Drosophila melanogaster: one gene and its partners. The gene in region 1 interacts genetically with each later gene. Each region holds a gene or a part of one and is shown in the gene's direction. Other genes may lie near its edges.

Region 1 (6,438 bases):
AATGTGTCCGTGTCATGATCACGCGATCGCCTCCTACTGGATGAGTCAAACATGGACCGGTGAGAAGCATCAATGAGGGAAGAAGCCTTTGAGAGACTAGTTTGTAGGGAAAATGTGGGCGCCTTTAGATCTTCCAGGACTCTTAAAGATACAACTTCAATAAGAATGCGCTAAATATTAGAAATATCAGGAGAACTGACTTCTGTGCGGGCGACATGAACTGGCTGGGCGTAAGCGGCACCTTGACGGCGCTCACCTTGGGCATTTGTGTGTCTGACGACCCGCTCTGCTGCACTCGAGCTGTAAATTCCTTGATAAACTGGAGTATGTCAGGATTAACAATGGGGGACATCTCCTCAGCATTGCGTGCGGAAATCAACTCGTAGTACTTCTTCAGGCGAGATTCATAAAGTTTTAGTATAAACTTGGCATCAGCTTCGCTGGATTGTTGTGCCAGCGGTAAATGATGCATTAGCTCAAACTCTGCAATGATTAAGTTGAGATTATACTGTATTCAGAAAGTAGGTGCATGCTCACCTTCCCAAGCCATCAGCATTTCGTGTTGAACCAGCGCCTCCAGGGCCTCAAAGCAGTATATGGATTTGTGAAGGGCCTGAACATAGAAGTCCATTGCCATGCCGCGATTGTCCAGGGCCTCATAAACTTTGCCCTTCATTAGGTAAATGGATGAGAGCAGTTCATTTCTGTGATTCTCCTCGCCACCAAAGACACTGTTGCTTTCCAGATAGCAGCCACTGCTTGCATCAACGGGCTGGTTGATCAGCGATGTGGTCATGACTTCCACCTCCACATTCTGGATGACATTGGCCGCCTCGGTAAACTCCTTGGCCGCATAGAGACTTTCCAGTAGTAGGTTAAAACATGGCAGTGAATTCTTCTCTAGCTTGTGATGCTGTATTGTGTGAGCAGCACGATGGTATTCCCCCAGTAGGTACATGCACTGCGCCTGGTAGTAAATATCCCTGGGTTCCAGGCCACCAAGCACGGCCACCTTTTCTGCCCAAAAAAGCGCTGTGGAGTAGCGACGCTAAAAATGCAATTGAATTTGCACTCAGGCTCTGCTTGCCGGCTTTTGGTTTTTTTGTCTTACCATGTCTATGAATTGTTTGACCAGCTGCCGGTACAAGGCCAGGTCGATGTGTTCATTGGTGGTGTCAGTGCTTGTGTTTTCCGTGTCCCCGGGCATTTTTATTAACGCAGAATTGTATTTTTGTTATAAATTTGATACAAGTTTTCCGCCGCTGGTAATAACTCATTTGAACATAGTGGCAACTCTGTGCAAAACAGCTGTATTGTTGCCATTCACTGGAAACAGTTGTTTACGCCAGTGAAAAAAATTTGGTTGCTGTTAATGCTTTACCAATAAGTAATAAAATTAATGGAAATATAAAAATTATTTTAAAACCAAAACTTTAAATGAAAATACAAATTAAATAAATTATTTAAATAGTTCAGCCATTTGTGCGAATTTTAATGACTGTTTCTTTTTTTGTCGAGGAATCGTCGAACACAAGTTGTTTCAAACAAATGAGCGCTTTTAAGTTCAAGAGAGCGGTTGCATGCGGTTGGTTCGACAGAGCCAGGCGAAAAAGGTTATTTAAGCAGCGTTGCACGCCGTGGCGTGGCCATAATATCAAAAAATCCCGACTAAAATTCCAAAATAAAAGATATCACGGGATGATAATTTAGTTTGTTCTATTAATTTGTATTGCCGCGGCAGGGTCCGCTCAAATTTAAGGCTCAATTTTAAATTCGAGTTAATGTGGTGCCATACCACAGTCGCAAAGATTTTCAACAATCAAAATAGTTTAATAGTAAAAAATGCGTCCGTGAGTGAGTAGTTTGGCGAAACAGCATCGGAAGGAGAAACGGAAAACGGCGAAGGGCGTGCAAAGCAGAAGTAACGGTTCCTGGCGGCGTGTGTGCGAGTGTGTGTAAAAATGTGCTTGGTGGACGACAAAAGAAACGGGATGCGATTGCAAGTGCGGAATTAAAATAAAATTCACACGAATTTATGCGCCATCCGCGTGTTTTTGCGAGTCCTGGGTATGTATTGGTGTATCAGTGTTAGCCGGCACTAGAAATTGTTGACCGAAAAATGGTGCAGTTCAAATTAGTTGGTAACAAGAAGGTGAAGAAAAACAGGGCAGCGGCTCATTTTTCGTTCTCTCATTCTCGACGTGCGTATTTTACAACTTTACAACTACACACTACTATTATGTGCCGTTGGTCCTGTTTTTTTTTCTGTTGCCTTTGGCTCACGTCATCTCTCCAAAAACTACGGCAATCAATCGCCGCCTTGGCCACACAGAGGAAATGAAGCTGGAATTGCGCGGGGTCTTAATTCGTTAATAAAATGTAAGGTGTGCACAATAATAGATTTTTGGATTGTCCGGTATCAATTGAAAAGAAATATGAATAACAGTGCAATTCATGAAAGTATAGCAATTTTTCTTTCTGTGTGCACACTTATTCTTACTACCCATTATTCTACGCACAGAGCGCGAGAGTGAGATGGAGAGAGTAGAGAAAGGGCGAGACAGGGCTTGGCCCCATCTCCATCTCCATTTTACAACTCCAACTTCGCTGCCACTGCTCATTTCATGCTGATTTATGGCTCTAATAATAGGTTCGCTCAACACACAGCTTCCGAAAGGATTACCACCCGAAAGGATAATGCATAGTTTGTGTTATTGGCGGCCATAAAAGCCCCCTTTAAAGTAAACGACCCTGGATTACAGTTAATTACAGTTAGCCGGGACAGTGTCATAGAGAGTAGGAGAGAGAGGGATACGCCTTGATCGATTTACGGCATTTAACGCTCAAGTGCGTACGCGTGTGTTTTCTTTAAACTCCACTGATTTGGAAACTACAAAGAAGAGTACTCTTATAATTAATTCATGCTTATGATATTTCAGGCCTTTGGAAATTTGCATCGTTGACGAGGCGGAATGAATCGATGACTATTTGCTGCTGATACGGCCACATCTGCCAGCTGTCTTGGTTCGCCTTCGCCCCTCTCGCTCGCTCAGTCGCGTTATCCTGTGGAGCTCCAATAAACAACAACAAAAACCAGATTCCTTGCCCGAGGCTCGGCATCCAATTCAAACTCCAACCAGATCCAACACGAACTTGGACTCGAACCGCAGCGAACTCCAACCGAAAGGCCTGCGCAGGAGTGAAAGAGAGAGGGCGAGAGAGACGGTGCGCGAACGGGCTCTCCGCCGGCAGTGGGAGTGGGAAAGGGAAGGTACGAGAGGCGGAAGTGGTGACATCTGTTTTGCCGCTTTGTCAGTTGGCGGATGCTGCTCCTGCCGAACACGAACGAACGCGAACGAGCACGAACGAACAAGGAGCGCAACGTGAACAAGTGTGGAAATTGGAATTTTTATTCAAAACAATGCCCCTGCTGCAACAGGTATGTAAATAATAATAAAACCCATTCGCACTCCAGAGCGGTAATTGAAACGCTCACGTACGAATAAAGTCGGCTAGAGAGAAAGAGGGAGAGAGAGAACGACCGAGCGAGTGAGAGAGCTCTACATCAGCTGGCTTTTTCAGTTCATCTTCCCAATTGGGATTCGTGAGTGGCTGGCCCGGGATGATCCTAATAAGATTAGTGCCCAACTTTACGCCTACACTTCTGAGAGTTTTTCAAACCACCCCACCACCCACTGAAACAGCCCCATCCGCCAACGTCTGTTGCACATTATGAGTAGTTAAATTCGATTAAACTTGCGGCGTTTTCTGCGCCAGACACCACTGCGCCTCCTTTTCGTCCTTTTTGCCGCCGGGTGGGCTTTTAATTGTACTCTTTGTTGCGCAAAATAGTTGCGTGATTTAATTTTGCTCGCCTTTATATGTTTTTTAATTCACTTAAATGAGATGATTCGATTAGGACACTGAGCGGTACAGAAAAAGCGCAGAGAGCAAATGGAAGCATTGGAATAGCGGATAAAAAACAGAGCTAAAGTTGTTGGGCACGCTTTACAACTGCCATTAGTATCCAGATTTTTATGTCTTTAAAGATTCGTAAAAGTTTGTCTAATAATCTTAAAACTCCAGTGACAGTACAAGCAGACAGCTATTAGCCTCTTATGGCTCAAAATATTACATGTCCCTTCCTGAGTTTTTCTTTATCCTCTGGAAAATTAATTATCCTGCCTGACAATCCGCTTCATATCAATACACATCAAAATTATGTCAGTTGCGGCAATTGCCCTTCACCCCCAAATGTGAATTACATGTAATGATTACAATATCCTTTATGCTGATACGCACATGCTAACCAACCCGACGACTCGGCTCATGCCCCCGCCGACCCCAGACTTGATTTAAGCGATCCTAAAGCGACTGTCAATATGTGTGACAGGTTTTTTAAGACGCTTTCCCTCCTCGGCGGAGCACTTGGTCCCATTGTTGGCTACGCGGCCCGTTTGTATCCTTGCCACGTCTTCCGCCTTTGGAAAAAGTTGCTCATTGTCGACTGTGACAGGAGACCCGGACCCGTCTATTGCTCATCATTCAGGCATTTGACGACAGACGACGCACAGGGGTTGAGGAAAAGCCGCCTTGACTACGTCAATGGATTGGGGATGGCTTTCAAAGAGGCGGAGATGGAAACAGAGGTGGAGGATGAAGGATGGAGGTTGGTTCTGTGCTGCATCCATGGCCCGAGTTGGCTGACAATGGAGCTGCGCATTTGTTACAATGTTTACACAAATATTTAAGGATAATCCGACGATTTCAAAGGGGTTATTATGCAATTTTTCTTCTCATTTTATTGTGGCTGCCAGCGGCGGCAGCAAAATGGTAGAAAAAAAAGATCAAAATATAGACCCAACTGAATAACTAAATGCAAAATGTCAATTTCGTCGTGTAAGCAGTGTCTATACCCCCCCCCCCCTTCCCTTGCCGTATTGCTATACATTCATATTTATTTGCTGGTAATGTCTAAAATGCGTCTACTTCTTGCCAACGTGGCGTGTTCTTAATGTCCTGCTTTCCGTATTATTTATATTTTTTGCACTCATTTCCATTGCGGCATTGCCTGCTGTTTAAAATGCCTATAAATAATGGTGGGGGCCACAGCGGAAAATTTGTCGGTCATAAGAAATGCTGTACATTTTATTTGCCATTTTAAGCCGTAGGATGTGTGATGTCATGCTCTGCAAAAGTCCATATCCTGCTGTAACATCGTTTCGTACAAAATTTTCCTTTATTGTCCTTGCACCAACGTCTTGGTTCACTGTCCAAGTGCAGGTCAGTCCATATCAATGACACCGGGATTTTGTGTAGCAATATGTCTGGCATTAAAACTTGCCAACATTACTGTATTGTGCATAATTAATCATAGAACCTTACTATTAAATTAGATCTATGCTCGTGGGGGTAAACTATGCTTAAAGCAAACTAAACTATCTGCTTTACCTGTTGATTACACACGCCCATAAATATTACACTAATAGTATAATTAAGTGAATGCTTGGCCGTTTTCCCTAAACGACTGCCTGCAATTGCCAGTTATTAGCCGGCTCAAATTTGATTGCCAGCGGGCAAATCATTGGCATTATTCAAACCCAAACTCGAGTGAATGCTCAAGAGAGGGCGGCAATCATTTCGAGCAAATCATTGTGCTGGGCGATGGTGTGGCATTAACAGTTGGTTATGTACACTTAAGTATATGCCGCAGGCCAACTTGGTATGTCCAGGCCGCCATAGCCTGCCATTTTCACTCCCACTACCCAATAGTACGGCTCCAGCTTCTGGTTCTGGTTCTGATCCTTGGCAGACTATTGGAATGTCTCGACATTTCGCGCAAATGCCAAAAGTACAAGGCGGCCAAGGCGTCCTCCAACAATGCGGTGGCAGCAGCCCCAGGGCACATCATTAAAATGTCGATACCAAGCAAATCACACGCCCGCCGCCAGCGAGAAGGATAACAACCAAGAAAATATCAACCAGGGTGCGTTGCGTTTGTTGCACTGCCGCGTTTTGTGGATTGGGTAGTGGTGCTTGGTATTAGGGCGTAGCCCATTGCAATATGAGCCTGTGGCATTTAACAAAAATGAGAAAGGAATAATACAAAAAAAAAAAATAAATAAAAGAAGAGTGCGGAAAATGGGAGAAAAAATGGAAAACTGAAAACAGAAAACGAGTGCAAAATTCAATTGAATTTACTTCGCCAGACGTTGCACACACTACTGGGCTCAACTAGCATTTAATGCATTGGCAGTGGTGCGGCATGCGTGATTGTGATGCGGCACCGCCGACACCGCCCATCGTCCGACGACACCCACTCACCCCTTTGTGACCCCCTGAACTCCGGCTGATGCACACCATTATTGTGGTTGAGCGGATGACGAAAGGTGGCCTGGTCGAGAGGGTATCAGGCCTTTTGGCCAATGGAATGAGCCC
Region 2 (6,438 bases), on another chromosome or scaffold:
TAAAAGTGTCTGTAAATGTTACTCATCCGCCGTGGTGAACTCAAAGGAGCTTGAGTCATGCGTAGTCAACTTATCTATTTGCTATAAACACAAAGAATCCCCCAATTTTGGGAACTACTGGTTTACTGTTGACTTAAGAAGAAGTCCGACAATAAACACAAAATAACTATTCGCTACACGAGGACGACCGTCATTGAAAACTTTATCCAATCTTACAAACTATATAAAAAGTTACATCTTACACCTTAGTACCGACATAATCTGGATATAAAAGAAACATTAATTCTTTTGTTTTGTATCAAAAACTAATTGATTTATTTGCATTTTGTTAAAACTATGCAAATTTGAATATTTGGTTTACAAAATAATACTTTGAGTTCAAGTTGATGGTTTAAACAACCTGGGATTACAACGCACTTAAATCACCACACGTACGAGCGCTTATAAACTGATGGGTTGTTTCTGTGGGATGCAGTATGTGACATTTTCTAAATGTAGTGCGAGATTCGGCTGAAGATGAGCTAGCAAACTAGATGAATAGAGTAATTATTGTTTAACCTAATACAATTGTAGGATGAAGGCCTGACTAGATATAGATACATTTTATATTTATATATATATATATATATATATATATATGTATGTATGTATATATATGTGTATGTATGTATATATATGTATATGTATGTATAAAATGCAATTCGTACTGATCGGTAAGCGTTTGTAGAGTGCAGCCGCGTGCTCTTGGCGAAGCGATTGCATCTTTTGGCTTTGTGCAGTTTACTTTCATGGTTTTTGGCTACAAAAATACTCTTTACATACGGGCACATACACAATGTATAATTAGAGCCCCAAAATGGACCAAGCTACAGCCATGCACTTCGGGTGTGTGATTGTGTATGTATATGTATAAATATAATTTGGTTAATCTCATAGTAAAGCCACTTAGCGGCATCTTTCACCAGCGGTTCGTATAGAACTGATTGATGCCAAGCACATGCTTCTCCTCATGGTACTTTTGAAGGATATGTGTGATGACCGAGGTTGTGTCGTTGTCGCCACGCCACACGCGTATCGCATGTTCGTTTTCCAGGATGCCCAGAAATGCTGTAAACGTATGTGCAATTAGTTTCGATTTCAACTGTTGCTATCTTAATTAGATGGACATACCCAAAAAAGTCTTTGGATTGCTTAGGGTCATCTGGACTTGTGGCATTTCCAGGATCACCTTTAGGATGGGCGAATCGGGCGCCAAGCCTTCACGCAGTTCAATAACGCTACCCGATCGATTGTCGCACAACCATTCGCACGCGGACGCCTTGTTGTTGCCAGTTTTCTTCAGTGCCGCGAGCACTGCCGTCTCCTCGAAGCCCATTTCTGTAAGCGATTCCACAATCTCATCGCTGGGAGGGGAATCCCGGTGGCTGTAGATTCGTACAATCTCAATCAAGGCAGCAGTGTTTTCAATGGTTTCCTTTAAAAGAAAACGGTTGTCATTAAAAAGCGATAATCTAATTCCTACTTACATTATTGGTGACAATCGTGGAGGGTGAGATGGAAGATAGACTGTGCTGCATATTCATGCCCGGCGGTTCCTGTGGATTTTCCTCGTTTTGGTTCTGTATTAGCCACTCCATCGTGGTCGAGTAAATGCCATTGTGTGCTTTTAAGGCAAATGCGGCTAGCTCCCGCTTGAAGCCCATGTCCACGAGGCATTGCAGCGTATCCGCTTGCTGATTTCGGCGATTGATCAAACGTTGCTTTAGCATAGCTATCAGGCGTGGAGCATAAGGGCCAGCTCCTATAACCGCCGCAGAAGCTTGAGCCAAAGAGATCAACACCTTTCGCACATCGTATTGGATCTGGAAACGGAATAGGATTAGAATAATCAAAGGAGTAGCCAAGAATTGTACTCACATTCGACTGCTGAAAGATTTCATTAATATCGATGGTGGGCAGCTGGTTGCAATTGACGGGCACGTATCGGGTGGCGCTCTCCACCAGCTGCTCATTTGGGCCAGGAACCTCACGTATCCGTGAAACAGTCTGCGGCAGAGTATTGCGTCGTGGGGAGAGTATGAAAGTCTCATTGTTGCGAACTTTTAGCTGGGCCAGCGTGTCGCCCTCGTTAAGCTCGCCGCCGAAGTATTCCGCCCGATAGAGACGGTATCGCGGATTAAGATGCCGCACATCTGGGGCAAATAGCTGGATGGAGTCGGGATCGTCGCTCAGTTCCAGAATCACCTCACTCTTCAGCTCGTTTAGGCGCTTATTAACGTCCGTTTTGAAGATAAGAACCCGAGAGCTGGGGCAGATTACCCGCACCAGGATAGATTCACCTGGCCTGCTGGCATCGTCTGCCTCGCCAGAAGTAGAGCTACCTGGGCGATTTGTATGGGCTGATTTCCTAAGTGGATTCCGTTAAGAATGGACTTAATTAAAAGATTAGCATAATACCTAAGCATTACTAACCTGAGAAACAAACTGCGCAGTTTTTGCATAGTTTGTTTTAGTTGGATGGGTAGTGACAAACCAACGGAGAATTTCGAAAGACAAATATTTGTTTCGGGTGAGCACTTTGAAAAACATAAGCATATTCGTTCGGTTTGATAACTTACGCATTAGCCTGCTGTTGGTGAGTGGGCGTGGGCGAGTCCTGTGGCACCACCTTCTGATGCTCAGCACGTTCCTCTCGTCGCTGCAGCTGTAGCTCAAGGTGAATGCGACGTCGGCGAGCGGGCGATGGAGTCCTTAGGACGCAACTGCCCCCGCCCACAAGGGGCCGCGAATTGGAAGCGGATATCCCGCCATCCGTCTGCGTTTCAGATTCCGCCGTGTGGACATTCAACGAGGATCCGCTCAGGCTCTCCGCATCGCTGGCGTCTGTCCGCTGGCTGTGGCTATGACTGCTGCTCCGAGGGCTTTCGTCAGCCGGAGAACCACCGCTGCGCTTGCTACGCGCCAACCACTTGGCCCGTTTCTCGTTGAACTTCTCCCGCATCCAGGGTATCATCTTGGGTCTGCAGCTAGGTGTTTGTTACATTTTGCGGCACTTTTCGATGGCTATTTTGCATATTTCTCGCAAGTAAACAGAATCGATGCGTTATTGCAAAAAAAAAAAAAACGATTTTTATTTTTGTAAAGTCGATAGCAAGCAGCTGTTTGATGGTGCTGCCAGATAGGCCATATCCATGGGGAATACCCCTAATCTTTATAACGGCTATTTTGACATGAAAAACTATTTTAAAATATGTTATGTGGCTGAACTTTATAAATATATCGTGATATGTACATATATGAAGAAAACTATGTTATTCCTTATCGTTAGCCAATAACAATAACAGGAAAACATTGGGGTTAAATACTTTTGTTACTTTACTGCAATAAATAGTAGTTACCCGAATATAGTAATAGAATTAAAGAATTCATTTTCCAAAAACTATTAGTAATACAATCTAAGTGTCTTAATGGTAAATTGGTACCTGGTTAGACCCGTCATATAAAACCCAAACATACTTGAAATCCCAGTTTGAAATGGGTTTTCAAATTTCAGGTAAGAAAATTGGGTTTTGAATTTACCTACACCAAAGGTGCAAAAAGTGACATCTGTCGCAGATTTCAAATAAGCAGATGGCCAGATTAGGTCCCAACTGTAAAAGAACCAATAGTAAATCCTATGCCCTCAGCTTATTTTACTTAAGGCGGTATCGCTTGCAGATGACTCTCACTTTTATTACTTGCGAAACGAATCTGCTTGATAATGAAATAAAATGGTGCTCATACACATTATATTTAAAACCAATTTGCTAAAAATCATTTAAAAATTCTCACTAAAAATGTCCATTCACAATAGGCATACGTAAGCAGAGAGCATGGAAATCTTCCCATCCCTAGCTACTCCCATTGGCTCATCTCTATGCGCCGCAAGAAACGATAACGATTGCCACAAGCATCCAATCGATTGCCACACATTTTAATTATTGCTAGAACGCGCAGGGGCTTAAAAGTTAGTAAAATATGTTTGCCGCCCACTAAACGCCACAGCGTCGATCCCGTCGTGTTATCAGTGTGCCCCCGTCACCTCCGAAACGAAACAAAAGTGGGCGGAAAGCGTTTGTGTTTGCGTTTTGGCAAGTCGACTACTGGCATTTGTATATCGGTGTGTGCGTGTGCGTCACGTAGCATAAAACGCGAGAGTTTCTGTCCGTTAAGCAGCAGTGGAAGGTGGTGGAACGGGAACGGAAAAAGAAACGAAAAAAGAAATGTGAAGAGTGCGGCAAAAAAGCGAGGAAGACGAACGTGCGAAAAGAGTAAAAGCCGGAGCGACAACAGCACATGAATGGGATACACTCTCCTGCCAAAAGTTCTAACAAACAAACATACATACATACATATGCACCACTCACGAATGCAGCGGACAAACAGCACGACACGCCACACACACACACACCTTCAGATATTGTTTGAAGCGGCGGCACGGGAACAACAAAAACAGGCCAAGAATCTGAAGAATAAGCGCAGGTAAGCAAAAACAAGCAGAGAAAACTTTTCCCCTCGTGTGTGTATGTATACGGCGCGTGCCTGTTTGTGTGGGTGTGCGTGAGTGCGTGCGTGAGAGCACCGTTTACCTGTGTGGGAGGATTGTCGTTGGTGAGAGGGGGGTGGTGCAGGCGCATAAATATTCGCTTTCTTTGTTTATGTTTGTCATTGTCACAATTATTCTGCTACAAGCAACAGCTACGGCAACCCACTCCAACCGCTAATTTATTTGCCAATTTCTTTTACGCATTTGTTTATATGCCCGAAAGGCTATCCAGTGAACCAGTGTGCCCAGCTGCTTTGCGAAATTCATTGTTATGTTTTTTGTATATAACGGCGCTATCAGAAATATCTTATCGCACATTACAATTTGCATTTACTCAGCGCGAAAGTAAATTGTAATTGTCAATTAACTGTTTTGCTACACAGGAAGAAAAGGGTAATTTCAATTTAGTAGTAACTGTTGTATATATGTAGCCCTTATCACGTGATGAATGTGTATCCCACAAATATTTAGTTCAAATATTAGGTGATTCACTTTTTAAAAAACCGCGTCGTCATCAGTTTGGAAACGCCGTACAATAATTCTCACTTTAAGAAACCCTAATATTTCGCAATCCTTATGAGATTATCATAGTCCGAACAAACCTATTCAATTTCAATACGATCCGCTCTTCCTTAAGAATTTTAAAACCAAACCTTAGAGTAATGCTTTAGATGTCATACTAAATGTATTATTTTCTTTTCCAGCATTTTATTAAGCGCAGTTTCTTAAACAGAGCCACAAGAGGAGGTGTCGCATATATATGATTCCATTTTGTCTTCTTGGAGAGCAAACTTAAATATAATACCACATACATTTTAAGCCTAGATAGGTGAGTAAATCGAATATAGCGATTCCGAAAGGATCAGATAATAACCGTTTAAAATTTCAATTTTCAGGACATAACTTTAAGCTGAAACGAAGGCAGACAGACAACATGTGGAATTCCGAACCAACACATCGCCAGCACCATCAGCACAATGGAAATTCTACCTCGGGCGGACCGCCCGCCAAGCAATTGGGCATGACCTCGGCTATCAGTCTGGCCGAGCCACGGCCTGAGGATCTCCAGCGCACTGATGAGCTCCGCGGCTCACTGGAGCCGTACAACGTCTTTGAGAGCCAGGACGAGCTAAATCACCGTATGGAGATCCTGGCCAAGCTCAACACACTGGTCAAGCAGTGGGTCAAGGAAATCTCTGTCAGCAAGAACATGCCAGAGTCAGCCGCCGAGAAGCTTGGCGGCAAGATCTACACATTCGGCTCGTATCGATTGGGTGTCCATCACAAGGGTGCCGATATAGATGCCTTATGTGTTGCTCCGCGAAATATTGAGCGCACCGACTACTTTCAGAGCTTCTTTGAGGTGCTCAAGAAGCAGCCAGAGGTAACCGAGTGCCGCTCGGTGGAAGAGGCCTTTGTGCCCGTCATCAAAATGAACTTTGATGGCATCGAAATTGATTTGCTGTTTGCCCGTCTGTCCCTAAAAGAAATTCCTGATGACTTTGATCTACGGGATGATAACTTACTGCGGAATCTGGATCACCGTTCGGTGCGCAGCCTCAACGGCTGTCGTGTGACGGACGAGATCCTGGCCCTGGTGCCCAATATTGAAAATTTCCGCCTGGCACTGCGCACTATCAAATTGTGGGCAAAGAGTACGTGTTATTATATAAAATTCTTATAAATTAAATTCTAATTGTTCTCATTTTCTCTCTTAGAGCACGGAATCTACTCAAATTCATTGGGTTATTTCGGTGGTGTGACCTGGGCCATGTTAGTGGCCAGAACCTGTCAGCTGTATCCCAACGCTGCGGCTGCCACACTGGTGCACAAGTTTTTCTTGGTCTTTTCGC
Region 3 (6,438 bases), on another chromosome or scaffold:
AGTCTCGTCTATTCAAGGTGATCACATTGCTGCGTCATTCGCAAAGTCTTCAAAATATGATTCATCCGATTTAGAATAAACAACACCTTATCATTAGAAGTATACATTAATGCAAAATGTTGTTCAAATGTTTAGTTGCTAATCAAAAGAAAATGATTTCTTTTATAAATGCATAATCTTATTGCTTTTTAGAAACTCAAATAAAAAAAAACCCATTTTATTGCAAACCTTCCGTTTACTTTCATTCATTTTCTGTAATGTCCTTTTATTCCTTTTATAATTATTTTGTAGAAATCAAGTTTTGATAACTTTTTTCAAGTTACCCCAAAAATATTAGCCAACTAATGAACTGCTCACGCATCGCTTTTCCTAATTGGGAATTACGGCTCCCATGGGAAATCCTCTACAGGTGTTGTGTTCACCCAAAGGATATTTCACTGGTTAGTCTGCTCGTAGAACATGAAGTTTTTGGTTGGATTGCTGCTCCAATGGTATCTTCCTGGCATTTATGCCCTTGCCGAGATTGCCTGTCGCATAGCCGTAGAGCAGAATGTCCAGGTGACCTATCTGTACCGCTGTGCCAGCTGCCCGGCATCCTTCGATGCGGATTACTCTGCCTTGGAATTGGATCTCTATCGGTGTGTGGGCAGTAGACTGCCCGTAATCACACGGAACATGGAAGCACATGAGCTGGAACCATTTAGACGAACGGACAGCCTAAGCATCTTTCAAATTCCGGCTGCCGAAAAGGGTGATTCCTTGGTACGCCGCATCCTGGACATGTTGAATCCTCACCAGAGGCGCAAGCATATGCACAAGTATCTGTTTGTTTGGCCAAATGCCGGAAGGCATCAGTTACTGCGACTTTTTCGCGGCAGTTGGGCCAAGAAGCTGCTCTACGGATTGGCCATTACCGGCAGGGAAAATGGCACCTTTGACTTTGATCCCTTTGCTTGGGGTGGTCTCCAAGTGATTCAGCGGCTGGATGGCGAAGTGCCGTACGCAAGAAAGGTGAAGGACTTGCGCGGCTACCCATTGCGTTTCTCCATGTTTACGGATCCGTTGATGGCGATGCCCAGGAGTCCTGTGGAGACAGCTGGCTATCAGGCAGTGGATGGAGTGGCGGCCCGAGTTGTTGGCGAGATGTTGAATGCCTCAGTAACATATGTCTTCCCGGAGGATAACGAATCCTACGGTCGTTGCCTTCCGAATGGAAACTACACCGGCGTGGTCAGCGACATAGTCGGTGGTCACACCCACTTTGCACCCAATTCCCGCTTCGTGCTCGACTGCATTTGGCCAGCGGTTGAGGTGCTGTATCCCTATACCCGTCGCAACCTGCACCTGGTCGTGCCCGCCTCCGCAATCCAGCCGGAGTACCTGATCTTCGTGCGTGTCTTTCGGCGAACTGTGTGGTACTTGCTCTTGGTCACCCTTTTGGTTGTGGTGCTGGTCTTCTGGGTGATGCAACGTCTGCAGCGAAGAATTCCCCGTCGCGGAGTCATCCAGTTTCAGGCAACGTGGTATGAGATTCTCGAGATGTTCGGCAAGACACATGTGGGTGAACCGGCGGGCAGGCTATCCTCCTTCAGCTCGATGAGAACGTTCCTCATGGGTTGGATCCTCTTCAGCTACGTCCTGTCCACCATCTACTTTGCCAAACTGGAGTCCGGATTTGTGCGACCAAGCTACGAGGAGCAGGTGGACCGAGTGGACGATTTGGTACATTTGGATGTGCACATTTATGCGGTGACCACGATGTATGACGCAGTTAGGAGCGCCCTGACGGAGCACCAATACGGTCTGCTGGAGAACCGTAGTCGCCAGCTGCCACTGGGAATAGCCACATCCTATTACCAGCCGGTGGTCCGGCGCAGGGATCGACGAGCGGCCTTTATCATGCGGGATTTTCACGCCCGTGACTTTCTGGCCATCACCTATGACTCGCAGGCAGAGCGACCAGCCTACCACATCGCCCGGGAATATCTGCGCTCTATGATATGCACCTACATCCTACCAAGAGGATCGCCCTTTCTGCACCGCTTGGAATCTCTGTACAGTGGCTTCCTCGAGCACGGCTTCTTTGAGCACTGGCGTCAAATGGATCTGATCACCCGGGTTGGTGCGTCGCCGGATGCTGAGGAGTTTCTCGAGGATCTGGGCGACCAGACGGACACGGATTCCGGCTCCAACGAGTTGGCGATTCGTAACAAAAAGGTGGTTCTCACTCTGGACATCCTGCAGGGCGCCTTCTATCTCTGGTCCGTGGGGATTGGCATAAGCTGCTTGGGATTTGCAGTGGAGCACGCTCATTGGTTTTGGCGGAGACAGACACTTCGGAATGCGGTTGAAGCTAGAACAAGCTAACTAAAAATATTAAAAATTACTAAATAAAAGGTACATATATGTTTGTTATTGTAAATACTATACTAAGTTTTCAATAAATTTCACCGCTGTTTAGTTGGACATGTTGTTTTATACATTTTAATGATAAAACTGTAGTTTTATATTATTCTAACCATTTAATGAATTTAACCATTTATTCCAATTAACCTTTCTTGTAAATTTAAATGTAACGGCTTTTTATGTTGTTATGGCTTAACATTCCGCGCGTAACAGCACACTGGAGACCCCCAGTATCAGAGCATCGATAGCACCCATCGATAGTCCGATCACCAGCAACCCTGCCTCCGGCTGTCATGTTTCACTTCCGGAGCTTGCGAACAAAATAGAATCGCTAAGGCAAAGAAAACCCTGCGAGTGGCGAGTGTTTTAAGATCACACTCAAAAACAACATCCAAAGTGGTTAGTGGCAGTTGAGAGAGTGCCCAAGACCCCGAATACCAGCCGGGCAGACACGAACAACACCAGCAGCAGCAGCACCACCATCATCAACAGCAGCAGCAGCATTTCCCGCTTTTCGTTTTCGTCGTCGCCGAACAACAAATAACAAAACCACGACAAACGATGGCTGATGCCGCGGAGAGTAAGCCACTGGCCGCCGAACAGCAGCAGGCGCAGCAGCAGCCGGAGCAGCAGCAGAATCCGCCGAATCCGCAGGAGCAGGATCACGAGCAGGAGCCGCTGGACGAGCTGCAGGGACAGCAGGGCCAGCCCGCTCCGCCCACCAAGGAAGTCATCGGTAAGGCTGAAACTCGCATGTTAAACCCAATTCCCAACCAATTTCATTCATGTGCCGCGAACACATGGCGGCTGCTACCAAAATAGCAATGAAAAAAAGGAGGAAAAAAGAACAAGAAACATGCCTCCCTGTATGCGTGTGTGTGTGTGTGTTTTGAGTCTTAAAATATACGCGCGTCGGCCATTTTGTGCGGCCAAAGGCAACGCAACGCATGTATATATGTATGTGCACGAACGCTCGCGCCGCCGGCTAACCAAATTGAAAATTCTGCCTTTTGCCGGTCGTCTGTCTTTCCACCCACCCAACCACCAACCCCACCCGCTTCGCCTCTTTAAAAAATGCCCCCCCATAGGTGTACACACACACACACATACACACATGCAGAGCGAGCCAGGGCAACCCAATTTGTTAATGCGCGCGCAGCGGGAGTGCGAACGAGAGGGCAGACAGCCGGGTGTGGATGTGTGTGTTCATTGTTTTGGTACATCTATTTGCACACACACACTAAAACGCATGGAAGCATGGCTATAAGGCGATTTCAAAACACGAGACCATAATGCAACCAATAAGATACAATAATATTCGGCGACTATTACAATATATTGCCAAATAATTTGGGATGCCACTATATTTTCGCGTAAATCAACATATTATATGCATACTTATATGGTTTATTCGAAATTTTGGTAACCATAGTTTTAAATAATTGTTAACCAATAATTTGTGGTTATAAAACGTCTTTCAATGTTATTGCACGCTTCAATGAGTTTTCAAACTGCGTATTAGTTTAGTTTCAGATGTATTGCGTTTTGCCCCTCCTTTATAATAAAAAAAAAATGCAAAGTATTATCTCAAAACTACCCCTTTTGTATAATTTAAGTTTCTTATGTAGAATTATTTGTATTTTAGAAGTCAGCTCGCTGTGCATCCCTACTGTTCCCTAATATTTTTGTTGCATGTATAATGTTTAAAGGATTATAATATTTGATAAAGGAATGATTGCAACTGATCCCAAACAAGTATTATACCATTGAAATCAATTAAATGATCACACGTTTGTAGAATAAGTACCGCCAAAAATATTGAATCCCACTATTATCCCCAATTGTTTATAATTTCTACTCTTTCCCATTGCAGCCACCAAAGTCACCGGCACCGTCAAGTGGTTCAACGTGAAGAGCGGCTACGGCTTCATCAACCGCAACGACACCAGAGAGGATGTCTTTGTGCACCAGAGCGCCATTGCGCGGAACAACCCCAAAAAGGCGGTCCGCTCGGTGGGCGACGGTGAGGTCGTTGAGTTCGACGTGGTCATTGGTGAGAAGGGCAACGAGGCGGCCAACGTGACCGGTCCCTCCGGTGAGCCGGTGCGGGGCAGTCAGTTTGCAGCGGACAAGCGCCGTAACTTCCGTCCCTGGATGAAGAAGAATCGCCGCAAGGATGGCGAAGTGGAAGGCGAAGACGCCGAATCGTCGGCCCAGCAGCAACAGCAGCAGGCGGCACCAATCGTTGACGGGCAGCCGCAGCAGCAGGTGCAGTCCGGCCCGCGTCAACCACGACAGAACTTCCGCCGAGGACCACCCGGTGGACCGCCCGGAGGACCTCGAGGTGGCCCCCGAGGACCGCCTGGTGGAGCTCCCGGTGGCCCCCGGCGCTACAACAACTATTATCTGCGTCAGCCGAGACGCGGCCTGGGCGGCGGTGACGGCAGCGCCGAGCCCGGTGTCCACGATCAGAATCCCGAGGGTCTGCAGCGCGGCGAGGGTCAGGGACCACGTCGCGGTGGAGGCCCACCGGGCGGACCCCAGAGGCGCTTCTTCCGACGCAACTTCAACAATGGTCCACCGCCACCACGCCGCGACGGCGGAGAATACAGTGAGTGAACTTTGTGCTATTAGATAATTGGTATATATTATTATTAATATTATTCTGTTGCAGTTCAAGGCCAGGGACCGCCACGCCCACAACAGCCACGTCCACGTCGCCAGAGGAAACCAAATGGCCCTGGCGGTGGTTCGGAGCAGCAGCCAGAGAAGGTAATGAACTAATCACCAGCATCATCACAACAGCAGAAACAACTGAAACATCTTCGCCGAAACAAACCTACGATAACAACATCTAAATTAGTAAACATCAGCAACAGTCAGTCGCAAGCATAACAACAAGGTCTACAATAATAACATGGTGAAGGCGTCTTAAAAACTAAACAACTAACTAAAGTGCATTGTGTAGATGCATTCGTAAATAACCACTAACAACCAGAGCAGCCACACGCACCGACACCAAAAGCAGAGAAACAGCGATAAAGCGGAGAAACCACCCTAACATTTAACACTTTACACTTAACTTGGAGGCTTTGGGTCTAACATAACATTCTAATACATTTAGTTTTTAGTTACCTAACCTGTGACTAATTGGCTAACAAGCAACACACACACACTTAATTTACAACCGAAACCAGCATTTTGCTTTCATCCCTTCGATTTATTTTTGAAGTTGTACTTACGTTAATGATTTCTACCCCCCTCGCCATGTTTTCCCATGTTCAAATTCCTAGAACGGCGCTCAAGAGCTGCAAAATACAACCACAGAGAGCACTGCATAGAAAAGGATCCGAAAGGATCTAAATCGTCAACCGACAAACAAAAACATCGTCAGCAGTAGCCGCAGTATATAACTACAATCGCAGAAAAACAGCAGCAGCAGCCCATCCTCAACATCAGCGACCAATGCAACATCATGGTGCAATAAGATCAGCAAATGTTGCAGCAAATTTTGCTAAATGAGCCGCCGCGTTTTTTCGGTTTGTTTGCTTTTTGTTTAGTTTCGTAGGGCAGAGAATCAATTGTACAACTCATACCACAACAAAACTAACATCCTCAAAATTTCAATCAAATTCAAAAACAAACAAAAAATTGTATAAAATTTCCATCAAGCCTGGCCGTCGTCAAAAAATTGCATAATTGTGGAATTTTTATTGTATGAACCAACAAACCAAACACGAAAACATAAATAAATTTCAATTACACTGCAATTTAGATGGCGCCGGTATACAATTTACTTTAATGATTATTACCATTTTTTATTTATTTATTCTTGAAAGCATTGTTACCCGTTGTGCGTTAAGCAAACCCATAACTCTAAGTTACTCGATTTAAAGATCATTAAAAACGTAAACCTATACCAATAACCACACCACCACTTTGTCCCATTTATGCATCATCCGAAATCGAGAACCATAGCCATCGGGCGAAAAGAAATGAAAGCAAAGCAGAGCAAACAAACAGAAGAACGAA

The links.
Region 2: of orb (region 1) and hrg, changing one enhances a phenotype caused by changing the other (phenotypic enhancement), as found in Drosophila melanogaster (2 studies listed by BioGRID).
Region 3: of orb (region 1) and yps, changing one suppresses a phenotype caused by changing the other (phenotypic suppression), as found in Drosophila melanogaster (2 studies listed by BioGRID).

Annotation. Positions count from the first base shown.
Region 1 is NT_033777.3:23,276,060-23,282,497, reverse strand, and holds the start of orb (oo18 RNA-binding protein), read left to right. Parts: upstream 1-1,641; 5' UTR 1,642-2,067; intron 2,068-2,939; 5' UTR 2,940-3,421; coding exon 3,422-3,439; intron 3,440-6,438. Other genes in the region: Cdc16 (cell division cycle 16), read right to left, coding at 1-141, 201-483, 538-1,048, 1,112-1,207.
Region 2 is NT_033778.4:19,667,330-19,673,767, reverse strand, and holds the start of hrg (hiiragi), read left to right. Parts: upstream 1-3,935; 5' UTR 3,936-4,521; exon of another isoform or gene 4,522-4,650; intron 4,651-4,699; exon of another isoform or gene 4,700-4,978; intron 4,979-5,289; 5' UTR 5,290-5,414; intron 5,415-5,481; 5' UTR 5,482-5,519; coding exon 5,520-6,240; intron 6,241-6,303; coding exon 6,304-6,438. Other genes in the region: Kpc2 (Kip1 ubiquitination-promoting complex subunit 2), read right to left, coding at 959-1,107, 1,171-1,474, 1,527-1,862, 1,918-2,407, 2,473-2,484, 2,619-3,013.
Region 3 is NT_037436.4:12,121,416-12,127,853, reverse strand, and holds yps (ypsilon schachtel), read left to right. Parts: upstream 1-2,703; 5' UTR 2,704-2,967; coding exon 2,968-3,142; intron 3,143-4,279; coding exon 4,280-5,017; intron 5,018-5,080; coding exon 5,081-5,178; coding exon of another isoform or gene 5,179-5,190; exon of another isoform or gene 5,191-5,699; coding exon 5,700-5,747; 3' UTR 5,748-6,174; downstream 6,175-6,438. Other genes in the region: Ir68b (ionotropic receptor 68b), read left to right, coding at 460-2,367.